2 linked regions of the Arabidopsis thaliana genome follow. The protein of the gene in region 1 interacts with the protein of each later gene in a pairwise test. Each region holds a gene or a part of one and is shown on either strand. Other genes may lie near its edges.

Region 1 (8,618 bases):
TTTGTCATCTTCCATACATGTTTTATAGAGTTCAACAAACATTAAGATGCTCTGTTTTAGCTGTCATGACTCTGTTTAGTTAGTGTAGTAAACTATTTTAGTTATATATGTGTGTCTTCAATTATATATATCATGTTGTGAGATCAATTATGTGTATGGTATTCTGAGTTTTATATATGTTCTGTACTAGGAAAACTGAATGGTTTTTTAATATTTGTGAAAAGCAAAGACATAAAAGGTTTTGTCTAAAAAGATTTTTGGATTTTTATAGTAAGCGTACTAATTATACATGAAGCAAAATTGTTGACAGCGGAAGATTAAAGAATTGTAATGAAAATTGATCTTGATTAATTTTGCAGAGTGGTAGTGAAGGAAACAGAGCATATTGGGCTGTGTCCAGAGTTTTCCATCTTCTGCTTGGCCAGCCTTTGAAGTTAACCAGACTCTGTGTATATAAACTATTGTAACATGTTTTTTTTGTTTTTTGATGACATGGATCATGTATAGATCATAGATGTGTGTATAGGGGTGTGGATGAAATAGCGGGGACGTGTGTAACATGTGTGTAGATGTATGTGTAGGGTGAATGTGTGTAGATGTATGTGTAGGGTGAATGTGTGTATGTCTAGTCTGCGTAGATGGGCGTGTGTCGAAACAAAATGATCACACACAAATGACTAACAAATCTAATCGCTCTAACCAAACGATCGCTAGTCGAAACACTAAAATTACTAACTTGGTCCCGAATCGTTAAAAGAACAAATGGCTACCAGTTCACACAAATGACCAACAAATCTGATCACTAACACTTAGTCGAAATTCACTAGAAAACTGAACAGACGATCGTTGGAACACACTAAAATTGCTAAACTAACTCGGTACCTAATCGTTTAAGACCAATAAACACACAAATAAATGAGGTACTTGTTCGGGAATTGAGGATTTTTGGATTTTTGAATTTAGTATTCGGAGATTTTAGAGTCTGATAACTTATTCAAACCACTCGAAAATACACAAAATATTTAAAAGTTTTTGAACAGTTTTTATTTAAATTTATTTAAATAATTTTAAATATCTGAAAATCTGCATATTTTGACAATTAGAATATGTAATATATAAATTGTGGATATAAAATCAGTTTTTCGGGTTTGAAATTTGGATTTAGATTTGATTTGGATTTGATCGGGGTTTGAAACCCTAAAACTGATGATCACCTAAATCGTTTTAGACTTCACTAATTAGTTAGATTTATTTTAAATTCTTTACAGGTCGGACCAAACCGATGGATTCAGCCGACGTTTTCATTATAATTTTTTTAAAAAACATCTAACTTCGGATTTGAACCATCAGGCCATGTGACTCGAGCAAAGTGTTTGTTAAGTTGACATAGGCGTGCATAAAACACGAATTATATATTCACTATACCAAAAAAAAAAGTTATATAGAGAGAGGCAGAAACTTACAAGTTAGAATCTCAGAACACACAAAGAGTAGCAAAACATCAAAAGTGTACTTGGACCACTTTTGTCTGGCATTTCACATTTGCATGCATGAAAGATAATAAAAATCTATAAATAGTTGAGCCTTTTAAGTTTAATTCGGAAAAAAAAACGCTTCATTCTTTTTTTTGCTTTAACTTAAACTTTTGTTTCTTCTCACCGCTCGAAAAGATAATCAAATTTAAAGACAGTAAAAACATCAAAGTTTATTAGCTGACACGTGATTGTCACAATCACGTTATTACTATACTTACTACTACACTACCAACAAAATAAAAGAGCACCTTGGTAAAATGATATAATACATTTCTTTTATATCTTATAAAATTCTACAAACCGAAAGATCAAACATGCTCGCGGTCGTATAGTTTTTTTTTTTTTTAATTTATGTTAAAGGGTTTTTTGCGGTCGTATAGTTGTAGACTTGTTTCTACTTTACAATTTCAAAAAGCTGTGTGTTTTGGTGCGCATCGGTGATTTCTAAAACTTAGTTGGATAAGAATATATTGTATGAACAGGAGTTTATCTTTACAATTTTTTAAGACTCCGACTGATAATGAAGAAACGAGAAAATATGAAAATTGTAAGAATAACAGATATAATATAGAATGAAATTTGATTTTTGAAAGTAAGATAATCGTTTTCAAGGAAAAATTTTCTTTATTATTGCAATGAATTTTGTGTAATTCATTTGCTTCCTACAAAATACGACTTTGTTAACTAAAATGACAATGAGCTAATGTTTGATGTTTCATTCCATAACATGACTATATAGTAGTTGAAAGTTGAAACCAGTGGCTCGATGACTATTTGCCATGTAACCTCAAGCAAGAAATTCTCGTGTGGTGTTTTCAAGCAACTCGTCGCGTAGCTAGCTTTATTTTCATGTGGTAGAAAATTACTAATTACTATTTATAAATAAAAAATACTAATCTCCTTACAAATATACTAATGTAGAATCTTTGGAGGTGATAGAGCACTAGTTATTGACCTCAACTTGCAAGAGAACAAAAATAAATACTTTTATAAATATTAAAAACCTTATAGTTAAATCTTATAAGTTGGGTAAAACAGAAGACAGTATATTTGGGTAAACTAAAACCATATTAAAGAAAGACCATAATGTGTAAAAAACAAAGACCATATTGTGTAACAAACAGAGACCATATTTTGAACTTAAATGAGTATATGACGTAGTTCTTATACAAATATACAGTCTGCTTTTTCATTCAAAGGTATATGCAATGATGATAGATATTGAAATTATTGTGTCTAAAAGTGACCCTAGAATCAAAAAACAGTGGTCAAAGATCTACCAGAGCAAATGGTTCAAATATCATTATAGATGGATTTTGAGTCAAATTTTACATTCAAAACTTCTTTTTATTTGTGGCATGAATTTACATTAGTTTTTTTGGGGTCATTTTTATTTTGTTCAATGTCGGATATTGAAAATAAAATATCATGATTCAGCGTATATTTCGATCATAATATCAAATTGCATTATTTAGTCAAACAATTTTGTTAAAAAATATTTCCTAAGATTTATAGAATTCAATACTGTTTTAAACTATTAGTCAAACTATATATATTTTACTGTTATTAAAACAAGGAATAAAATTATGAAATATCAAAAAATATGTAAAGACATATACTATGATTAAATCTTTCAACATTCAATATTTTACCATTGAATATACAAAAATGTTAACTGTTAACTATGCATACAAGACCGAAATACAAATTCCAAAAAACTTATGGCGCAAATCTGATACCGAACTACCAACGATATTCACTCGATTCATCATCTAAAAACTAAAATACAACGAATAAAACCAACTAACTTTTCAATTCTCACCTCAATTTCCTACCACATTTTCATAATTTTCCAACTTCTCACATTTGTTACCATGATAGTCAATTCACTTTCTAAAATCTTCAAATTTTATCTTACATTTTTCATCTTCTTCACCATTATATATAGCCTCTCTCCTTCTCACACAATCTCCATCTTACCCTAAAAACCACATTTCTTAACTTCCTCAATAAAAAAAAGAAAAGCTTCACCCTTTAATTTTACCCTCAACCCCAAAACAAAAACCCCTTCCTCCACGAGGGCATACAGAAATATCAAAGACCCAATCTTTCTTTCACTTCCCCAATCTCTAGATGACAATCTAACGATACAGTTCCTTTTAGATCGATTACCAAATACAAAGGATCAATTTTTCTTACATGAACACTCTGTTGTAATGGCAGAGGAGAATCTAGAACTGAGTCTTTTATGTACAGAGAGCAACGTTGATGATGAGGGCATGATTGTTGACGAAACTCCGATTGAAATTTCGATTCCTCAGATGGGTTTTTCTCAATCGGAGAGTGAGGAGATTATCATGGAGATGGTGGAGAAGGAGAAGCAGCATTTGCCAAGTGATGATTACATCAAGAGACTTAGAAGTGGAGATTTGGATTTGAATGTTGGAAGAAGAGATGCCCTCAATTGGATTTGGAAGGTCTGATTCTCTATTTGATTTTGATTTCTGGTTTTGAAATTTGGATGTTGATTGGTTTTGAATGATCTGTATAAGCTCAAATTGTGAAAAGCACAATCCTTTTGATGAATGATCTGAACATAAAGAGTGTGTTGCTATGTCTATTAGATCAGAGGCTTATGCAGAACAGATAGAGAGGTTTTGTCTTAAATCTGTAAATCTGATGCTCAATTTCCGATCTTTCACACTTCAATTGACAATAGATTCACTTCAGTCTCAGAGTTTTAGATCTCTAATTGATCTTTTCTTCTGTTCTGATTACAACAGGCTTGTGAAGTACACCAGTTTGGACCATTGTGTTTTTGCTTAGCAATGAACTACTTGGATCGATTCTTATCGGTTCATGATTTGCCTGTAAGTTCACATTGGTTAAACTAAAAGATTGATAATGTTTTTAGCCATTCATCATCAAAAAGTCTCATTTTTTCGCTTCTTGATTTGTGATTCTTCTTGTAGAGTGGCAAAGGTTGGATATTGCAGTTGTTGGCTGTGGCTTGTTTATCATTGGCAGCCAAAATTGAAGAAACTGAAGTTCCAATGTTGATAGATCTTCAGGTTCTCCTCTAAACTCGTTAAATTGTCGAGATGTTCTATTCGACCCGACAATGTCTTGAATCGATTGCGGTTTGATCACATTTCGGAACAGGTTGGAGATCCTCAGTTTGTGTTTGAGGCTAAATCAGTCCAAAGAATGGAGCTTTTGGTGTTGAACAAATTGAAATGGAGATTGAGAGCAATAACTCCATGCTCATACATAAGATATTTCCTGAGAAAGATGAGTAAATGTGATCAAGAACCATCCAACACATTGATATCTAGATCATTACAAGTGATAGCCAGCACAACCAAAGGTGAAAAAAAAAGTCTTTCCTTTATGTTTTATTTTCTTGACCACTTTTGTTTTTGTGCTTTTTTGGGTTTTGTTGTTTTTTTCACTTTTGCTTTTTATGATTTTGGATTAAAATGGTGGTTGTGTCGAGTGAGCAGGTATTGACTTTTTGGAGTTTAGACCTTCTGAAGTTGCTGCTGCTGTGGCACTTTCTGTTTCTGGAGAATTGCAGAGAGTACACTTTGACAACTCTTCCTTCTCTCCTCTTTTCTCACTACTTCAAAAGGTAAAAAACAATCCACCAAACATCTCAAACTCATAAATCTATTGTTTTTTAATACCAAACACACACACACATATAAAGCAGCCTTTGGTGGTTCAATTTCAAGGAAATGCCAGTTGTGGAGAAGTTTGAACTCATTAAAGATGACACATTTATGTGTATATATGTGTGTGCACTAACTTATTCATTGCATACACATAATATGTGTAATTATAAATCCAAAAAGTAAAAAAAAAAAAAAAAAAAAAAAGAGAAACCGGTTAATGGGTCTGAATCCTTTGACTTCCAAAACTAGTGGAGAGTAGACCAAAGACCACTTTAAATTATATTATTCTCTAGCTATGTGTCTTGTGACTCTCTCTGTCACACACACACATTCACTGCACAGCCTCTAGTCACATCTAAAACCAATCTGCCCCCACAAAAACATGTTTGATTCTGATTTGATCTTGCAATCCAAAACATCAGCCTGGTTTCCATTAGTTGTTTTTCTACACCAGAAAAAGCTGAAGAGATCTTTGTGTGTTGTGTTTGTGTTTGTGTTCAAGAGACAAAAACAAAAGTGTCAAGCTTTAAACTTTGTGGTTCCTTTTATTGCAGGAGAGAGTGAAGAAGATAGGGGAAATGATAGAGAGTGATGGCTCAGACTTATGTTCACAAACACCCAATGGGGTTTTAGAAGTATCGGCTTGTTGTTTCAGCTTTAAGACCCATGATTCTTCTTCTTCTTATACACATCTTTCTTAAAAAAAAAACTGTTTTTTTCTTACATTATTATAATCAGTATGATGTCTGATGAGAGGTTGAAAAAAGAGGACAATAAATCAAAGCAAAAATTTTTAAATAAATAAAAGTGTATTAATTTCAATATTTGATTTGTTTATAGCTTTGGTAATACTGAACAAATAAAATTATAAGAATTTTTTGTTGGCAGGAAATAGCAAAAAAGAGAAAGAAAATAAAACAAAGGAAAAACAGAGCTTTTTTTAATTGGTTCCCGCCAAATAAATATAGCGGGAAAAAACCGTATCGGTTCTGTTGAGCGTTAGAGTTGACCTTTTTTAATTCAAACGGTGCCGTTGTGAGATAAAGCGCGCATCGCACTAATGGGCTTAGAATTGGGCCCACGAACAGAAGTCTTTGACTTAAAGTTGACGTAAAGAGACCAAAGCTAGGTTGTGCTTTATGGAGCTTTTGCGTTTTATACCTTTTATCAACAAAACTCCAAAATCCCAATATTTTATTGAAAACTTTTTAACAAAAAATAAATAAAATGATTGGACTCCAGGTCCACTAAACCTCTAGGATCTGTAACTATGAAGAAAATGGGCCAATGCTATATTCATTAAATTTAATCATTTGGGTCTACCATTGTCGCATGGCATACTAGCAATTTGATGATCCTGAAATAAAATAATTGTGCGTGGAGATAATTTATGAAGATTTCCCCTTTTTGTATCATTTTTTAAATAGACATTTTTAATCTGAAAAGGTTAAAAAAAAGTCTCTATACATCATTAAACAAGTCGGTCTAATCTTGTGAAATAGTTGTGTAAGAAAAAAACTTAAATTATGTATTAACAAATGCTAGTTGGTATATATTTTCTTTAAAATAATTACAATTTTAACTCATAACATTTGTTGTATTCAGTTATTTTCTATATGTCTCAATAATCAATAAAATAAATAATGTTAGTAATAACCATCATGTAATTGGTGAATGTGAAAGATCATCTGTCATTGAAAACTTTGTGAATATGATTTTATCACTGCATATACTAGACTTTTAAATTTATTTAGCTTTTCACTAATTATATTAATGGTGTTCAATTTTAGGATCCTAGACACAGTCAAAATTAATCTTCACGGAATGATATATATATATATATATATACGTACATAATTATATGTCTGTGTACGATTGTGTGAAAATTTTGAAATGAAGAAACTATTTGGAGTTGGACAGAGGACTAAGTGAAGACAACAATACAAAACAAATAAACTTTTATAATTCTTTCATTGGGCTTTGTCATAATGAGTCGTCACAGTCATTCAACTGTCCAAATTATATATTTTTTATTTTCCCTGAAATAAAAGTTGCTAAAAGTTATAGCTTCTAAACTTTTCTCAACCTTTGCCTTTTCTTTTACATATGAACTAAAGAGAAAATACTTTTCCTTTTTTTCCCAACTATTAATTTGTATTAGATTAGCAAATTCAACTAAGATGGTACAAACCATCCCACTAGACCCAAATACAAATCTAAAATATTTTTCCTTTCGTATAAAGAAAAACAAATTACGTATTTAAGAATTCCATACAATCGTAAAATTCTTTGAATCATGGTACGACATGACTAATTAACTACATATCTAAGAATAAGTAAAAATTGAAATGTAAAGCAGGAAAGAAAAAAAAAATTATTCATTGCACGTGAATCATCATCAGTTTCCCAAATTAGGGCAATGTTTATGAAGCTAAGAGTATGCCCATATCATATAGTTTAAAGAAATATAAAACCCTAACCCTAGCTTGTCCTACTAACCCTAGCTTGTCCTACATTTAAATTTACGCAATCAAAATAAAGCTTTTTACTTTTTCATATTAAAAAACTACTTGTTTCGAAACTTAGCTTGAAAGGGAGGTAATAAACCCTGCTTGCGGGTCACATTTAGATTCCCTAAATGAAGCATAACGACAGTAACAATTCCACAGTAAAAACACTGTGAGAATGATGATGATGGTGATGATAATGATGATGATGATGATATAAACGTATACACTCATATAATATATGTATGGTACATAATATACACATTGATGGGTCGTTGTCCGATGGGTTTCTGCGTATTGACTGAAAGATTCCATGAAGAGGACCACAGTAAAATTAAAAAATCATGTTTAAATAAATAGTATTATTATCTGATCAAAATATTATGCTCCTCAATAATTTCAATTTCACCATACATCCAAAAACAACCCTAAAATTCATTTACTTAACTACTTTTCTTTTTTTGATAAATTAACTTAACTACTTTAATTTTCACTACTTTCTATGAACATTTATTACAAGTTCAGACTCCAACGTATGGTACGAACATTTCTCATTACTGCATCAGCGAGTAAACATTTCTCCCCTCTGAATAAAGTCTATAATCATAATATTTATACATGTCCTCATCATTATTTCTCTTATAACTCGATTTATGAAGCAATGTAGACGAAATTAAAATTTCTAGCAACTAAAAGTTATACGTAAAATTACGATCTAACTTAGCCAAGATTTGTATTAAAGTTCAACTGAATTATTGAATTTTCTAACGAATTAGATATTGTTCGGTTGAGCTAACTGCGTTTTATTTGCGAAGTAACTGAAACTTTGGTCCATGCAACTATAATCATTATTTTCAAACAAGTGTTGATCGAAGTTTAAATTCGATCCGATTCATTAGCCA
Region 2 (5,475 bases), 680 kb from region 1:
GAGATACCGTTCGCTAGTCCTTGTGTTATTGGTCATGAGATTACTGGTGAAGTTGTTGAACATGGTCCACTTACTGATCACAAGATCATTAATAGGTTTGTCAACTTTACTTCACCTCCACACTAATGGAATCATATGTTTTGAAGAAATCCTAAATGTCTCAACTTTTCTTCAGATTTCCAATCGGGTCTCGTGTAGTTGGAGCTTTCATTATGCCTTGTGGAACCTGTTCTTATTGTGCTAAGGTGAGAACGAAATTGTATTGCTTTCATCGGATTCTCTAATCTGAGAACTGTAGCTTTTTAGCTGATATTTTAATTTGGATACAGGGCCATGATGATCTATGTGAAGACTTCTTTGCTTACAACAGAGCCAAGGGAACTCTTTACGATGGCGAAACTCGTCTCTTTTTGCGACATGATGGTAAATTTGAAGACTTTTTAAACATCAGGTGGCATATTAGGAGAACTGTGATTGTTTTACCTAATTACATTTCTTAATTTCTGGCAGATTCACCAGTGTATATGTATAGTATGGGAGGGATGGCTGAGTACTGTGTTACACCAGCTCATGGTTTAGCTCCTCTACCAGAGTCTTTGCCCTACTCTGAATCTGCCATTCTGGGATGTGCTGTTTTTACAGCATATGGTGCTATGGCTCATGCTGCTGAGATCCGTCCTGGAGATTCTATTGCAGTTATTGGAATTGGTGGTGTGGGCTCCAGGTATGTTAAATGTGTGGCATTTTCTTTTCTTTACCGGATTTGGGTTTTATTGCTTCTTGTATGACCATAACCATCTTTGAGTTGTTGCTTCAGTTGTTTGCAGATCGCAAGGGCTTTTGGAGCCTCGGATATCATTGCTGTGGATGTTCAGGATGATAAATTACAGAAGGCCAAGACACTTGGTGCTACTCATATTGTCAATGCTGCTAAAGAAGATGCTGTTGAAAGGATAAGAGTATGGTTGATTCAAGACCTCTTATTTGTGAAGATGAACCATTGATTGATATAAATATGAAAAACTGTTTCTTCTTCGTAGGAAATAACCGGTGGGATGGGTGTTGATGTTGCTGTTGAAGCCTTGGGAAAGCCTCAAACTTTCATGCAGTGCACACTAAGTGTGAAAGATGGTGGAAAAGCTGTGATGATTGGACTCTCACAAGCTGGTTCCGTTGGAGAAATTGACATAAATCGACTTGTTCGTAGAAAGGTTTGGGGTTCTTACTCTCTCTCTCTCGGCCTTGTTAGAAGAAAGTCTCTGGTACTGAGATTGTCTTTTAAGATCATGATATTGAATCTCTTTTTGTTCTGTTTTTCCAATTTTTTGTGAAGATAAAAGTTATAGGATCTTATGGAGGAAGAGCAAGACAGGATCTTCCTAAAGTAGTGAAATTGGCAGAGTCAGGGATTTTCAATCTCACAAACGCAGTCTCAAGTAAATACAAGTTTGAAGATGCAGGAAAAGCATTTCAAGATCTCAACGAAGGCAAAATCGTGAGCCGAGGTGTTGTTGAGATACTATAACCAATATAGCCTTTTGATTCTGGTTTGTGAATGACTGCTTCACACCTGTTTCACTGAGGTCTATTTTTAGTTGCTACAATCTTCAGACAAGGTCATTGTTAATCTGATATTTGTGTTTGTTTAGACAGTGAAAAGGAAAAAAAAAAACTGTAGTAACTGGACAAAATTTATAATTTTACTGTTTTTCATTTCTTTCCAACATTTATTGTTTTTCTATACTGTTAATATTTTTAATTTCTTCCCTCTTTTCACAATTTTCTACTTTCTAAGAATATTAATAACTGACATATATATAAAAAAACACAATTTATTTCTCTTTTGATAAAATTATCTATAAATCATTAAATCTTTGATGAGAAATATCCAATCTACTAATGTATATCGATGATTTAAATGAAATTACTTATTTGAACACAAAAATAAATGAATTTACTAATAAATAAATAGCGTAGTTGGAGCAAGTGGCTAAAAAAATTACAAATCTAGTTTCCATTCTCAGCGTCGGCTGCTTGGAACGTCACCGTTTTCTGGAAAACGCAATCTTCTCCCTTCCGTGACGTCTCACCGGAATTTTCTCGCTTTTGTCTACTCTCCTCCATCTCCGAGGTTCTCCAAGCTCAGCTCCTCTTCCCATCATTCATCCGACCGCCTTATCCGGTCAGATCCTTTACGTATTTCTATTTTCCTGATCGTCGATTTTTGAGAAATGTAAAAACAGATCGTATAAGGCCTCGAAGTTTTTAATTTGAAAGTGGTATCGAAATTTTTTGGTCTTTGATTAGGTTAGGGCACCGTAGCTCTGGGTATTGAATTTGTAGGGTTTTCCTCTGGTTATTGGTCTTTGGAGCTTGGTAATTTCTGCTGAATTGATTGATCCCTTTTCCATCTTTTGAAGTAAAGTCTCGAGCTTTCGTGTCTCGATGTAGATGAATTCTATTTTGAATATGAGATTTGATAAGACGTCAATTGCTGATAATTTGGAGTCTTTGTGTCTGAATTTGTTCATATGAAGTTTTCTGAGGGATGTGAATTTTATTGTCTGCTAATTTTGAAACGTTCCTTTTGGAATTTGGTTTGTGAGGAGTCCTAGATCTTTTTCTGTGAAGTTTCTTGCTTGTAAGTTTTCTGGATCACTTGATTGAGTCTAGAATCTAGATAGATTACATGTACGGTTTGATTCCTTTGGCTGATTTTCCAAAGTTTTGTTCAAATTTCAGGAGAACTACAAAGAGGAAACCAAGATTGTTTTGTTTTGTTAGACTCTACCCCTTTTCCGATTCACATGGTAAGGACATTGAGGTAGAGAATAATACTAAAAAGCAATGGGAGATGGGAGTTCCAGTAGATCCAACAGCTCAAACAGCACTAGTGAGAAACCAGAGTGGCTGCAACAGTACAATCTCGTTGGTAAGATTGGTGAAGGCACTTATGGTCTTGTTTTCTTGGCTAGAACCAAGACTCCGCCTAAAAGACCTATTGCTATCAAGAAGTTTAAGCAGTCCAAAGATGGAGATGGAGTTTCCCCGACTGCTATCCGCGAGATCATGTTGCTTAGAGAGATTTCCCATGAGAACGTCGTGAAGCTTGTGAATGTCCACATCAATTTTGCAGACATGTCTCTGTATCTTGCCTTTGATTATGCCGAGTACGATCTCTATGAAATCATCAGGCACCACAGAGACAAAGTCGGCCATTCGTTAAACACATACACAGTTAAGTCTTTGCTCTGGCAGCTTCTCAACGGATTGAACTATCTTCACAGTAATTGGATTATACACAGAGATTTGAAACCGTCGAATATCTTGGTTATGGGTGATGCAGAAGAGCACGGAATAGTGAAAATAGCTGATTTCGGGCTCGCAAGGATATATCAAGCTCCGTTGAAACCACTATCGGATAACGGAGTTGTGGTCACAATCTGGTACCGAGCACCAGAGCTGCTTCTTGGTTCGAAGCACTACACGAGCGCTGTTGATATGTGGGCAGTTGGGTGTATATTCGCGGAGTTACTAACTCTTAAACCGTTGTTTCAAGGAGCAGAAGCGAAATCGTCTCAAAACCCTTTCCAGTTAGATCAACTTGACAAGATATTCAAGATCTTAGGCCACCCGACGATGGATAAATGGCCAACACTAGTTAACCTTCCACACTGGCAAAATGATGTTCAACACATTCAAGCTCACAAATACGACAGTGTGGGTCTCCACAACGTGGTTCACCTGAATCAGAAAAGTCCTGCGTATGATCTGTTATCCAAAATGCTGGAATATGATCCTCTAAAGCGGATCACGGCTTCACAAGCACTAGAACACGAGTATTTCCGAATGGATCCTCTCCCAGGACGGAACGCATTTGTAGCCAGCCAACCGATGGAGAAGAATGTGAATTACCCAACTCGTCCAGTAGATACAAACACCGATTTCGAAGGCACGACAAGCATCAATCCGCCTCAAGCAGTAGCAGCAGGAAACGTAGCAGGGAACATGGCAGGAGCTCATGGAATGGGCAGTAGATCGATGCCAAGACCAATGGTTGCACATAACATGCAGAGGATGCAGCAATCTCAAGGCATGATGGCTTATAATTTCCCGGCACAGGCAGGGCTTAACCCGAGTGTTCCGCTGCAGCAGCAGCGCGGGATGGCTCAACCGCACCAGCAGCAACAGCTAAGAAGGAAAGATCCCGGAATGGGTATGTCAGGTTACGCACCTCCTAACAAATCCAGACGCCTCTAAAGGTAAAATCGAGATCATCAGTCTCGGGTTAGAATCTGTGTGTTTGCCGCAGAAGAAAGCGTTGCGATTTGCTTTATAGAGTAGAGTTAGATTGTAATGCAGCATGTGGAATGTTGCTATTCATATGGATGGATTGGATTCTCTGTAGTTTTTGTATAAACATCCTCTCAAGTATTTGTTAATTATATTAGATCATCATTTCTCTTAACATCATTTCTCAAAACGTAGTAAATAGGAGATTTGCCAAGTGAAAAATATATATAATGAGACAGTTATTATGAACACAATTTACAGTTATTATGAACACAATTTTGGTGATGTTTCTACTGTTTATGAAATTTGTTTTTTTTTTACCTGCCAGTCTTATCTATTTACCACCAACATACATTAGAATCTAATGTAATTACATCATCAATCATAGACCTAATGAATATTTAATACCACACAGTTTAAACATTGCTATTAAAGTTTGAAAAGATTATACTTTAGTAAAATAATGTTTTCAAACTTGTATTCAATTATACTACGTAAGCAGTGATCCAATTATTACGAACATAATACTTTTCCAAATCAAAATTTTGTTTTTGTTCACCTTACCATCAGTTTCATAATAGAAATATTATATATATACAACACAAACAAATGAATGAGAAATGTTTTTCTATTATTATGACTTTTATTTAAGATTCAAAAGAACGAAGAAGAGTTATATATATGCTTGTTTGTTTCAGGACAAATACAATAAATAAGTGGATAAGAAAACCACAAACCTTGAACTAGCCTGAAATGTGTGAACCAAGCTATACAAACTGTACGTGATTCTGCATCGTGGAAGTCACAAACAGACTTCTGACTTCTGCTAAAGATAAAACTCACTGTTTGCAAGCAATTTAGTATAAATATGAAGCATTGACCTACCAAGATCGACACAATCACACAGTTTCTTCTTAATTAAACCTAGCTATTTTTGTCTTTAGCAGAAGTCAGAAAGCTAGTTTTGTATTTTTCTTATTTCTTAAATATATGGCGGCCAATGTTATGAGACGGTTTATGATTTAAAGATACACAATGGACCCACGACGTTGCCATAATACAATTATTAGGCTGTTAATTAACGTGATCGTTACGTTTGCTACAAACTAGCTAGTTGTGTCTTCTTTATTTTAGTAGATAAGTATAAGAGTCTAAAAATATTACAACCCAATAATGGTTACA

The links.
Region 2: the proteins of CYCD4;1 (region 1) and CDKE;1 interact in a two-hybrid assay, tested with the Arabidopsis thaliana proteins (one large-scale study listed by BioGRID).

What each region holds. Positions count from the first base shown.
Region 1 is NC_003076.8:26,138,884-26,147,501, reverse strand, and holds CYCD4;1 (CYCLIN D4;1), read left to right. Parts: upstream 1-3,508; 5' UTR 3,509-3,751; coding exon 3,752-4,012; intron 4,013-4,159; coding exon 4,160-4,189; intron 4,190-4,318; coding exon 4,319-4,405; intron 4,406-4,507; coding exon 4,508-4,606; intron 4,607-4,697; coding exon 4,698-4,902; coding exon of another isoform or gene 4,903-4,976; intron 4,977-5,038; coding exon 5,039-5,166; coding exon of another isoform or gene 5,167-5,202; exon of another isoform or gene 5,203-5,389; coding exon of another isoform or gene 5,390-5,392; exon of another isoform or gene 5,393-5,763; coding exon 5,764-5,910; 3' UTR 5,911-6,032; downstream 6,033-8,618. UniProt on the Arabidopsis thaliana protein: May activate cell cycle in the root apical meristem (RAM) and promote embryonic root (radicle) protrusion.
Region 2 is NC_003076.8:25,462,430-25,467,904, reverse strand, and holds CDKE;1 (cyclin-dependent kinase E;1), read left to right. Parts: upstream 1-1,982; 5' UTR 1,983-2,182; intron 2,183-2,742; 5' UTR 2,743-2,847; coding exon 2,848-4,260; 3' UTR 4,261-4,543; downstream 4,544-5,475. Other genes in the region: AT5G63620 (GroES-like zinc-binding alcohol dehydrogenase family protein), read left to right, coding at 1-95, 176-245, 330-423, 511-724, 818-959, 1,041-1,218, 1,341-1,525. UniProt on the Arabidopsis thaliana protein: Involved in cell differentiation. Required for the specification of stamen and carpel identities and for the proper termination of stem cells in the floral meristem.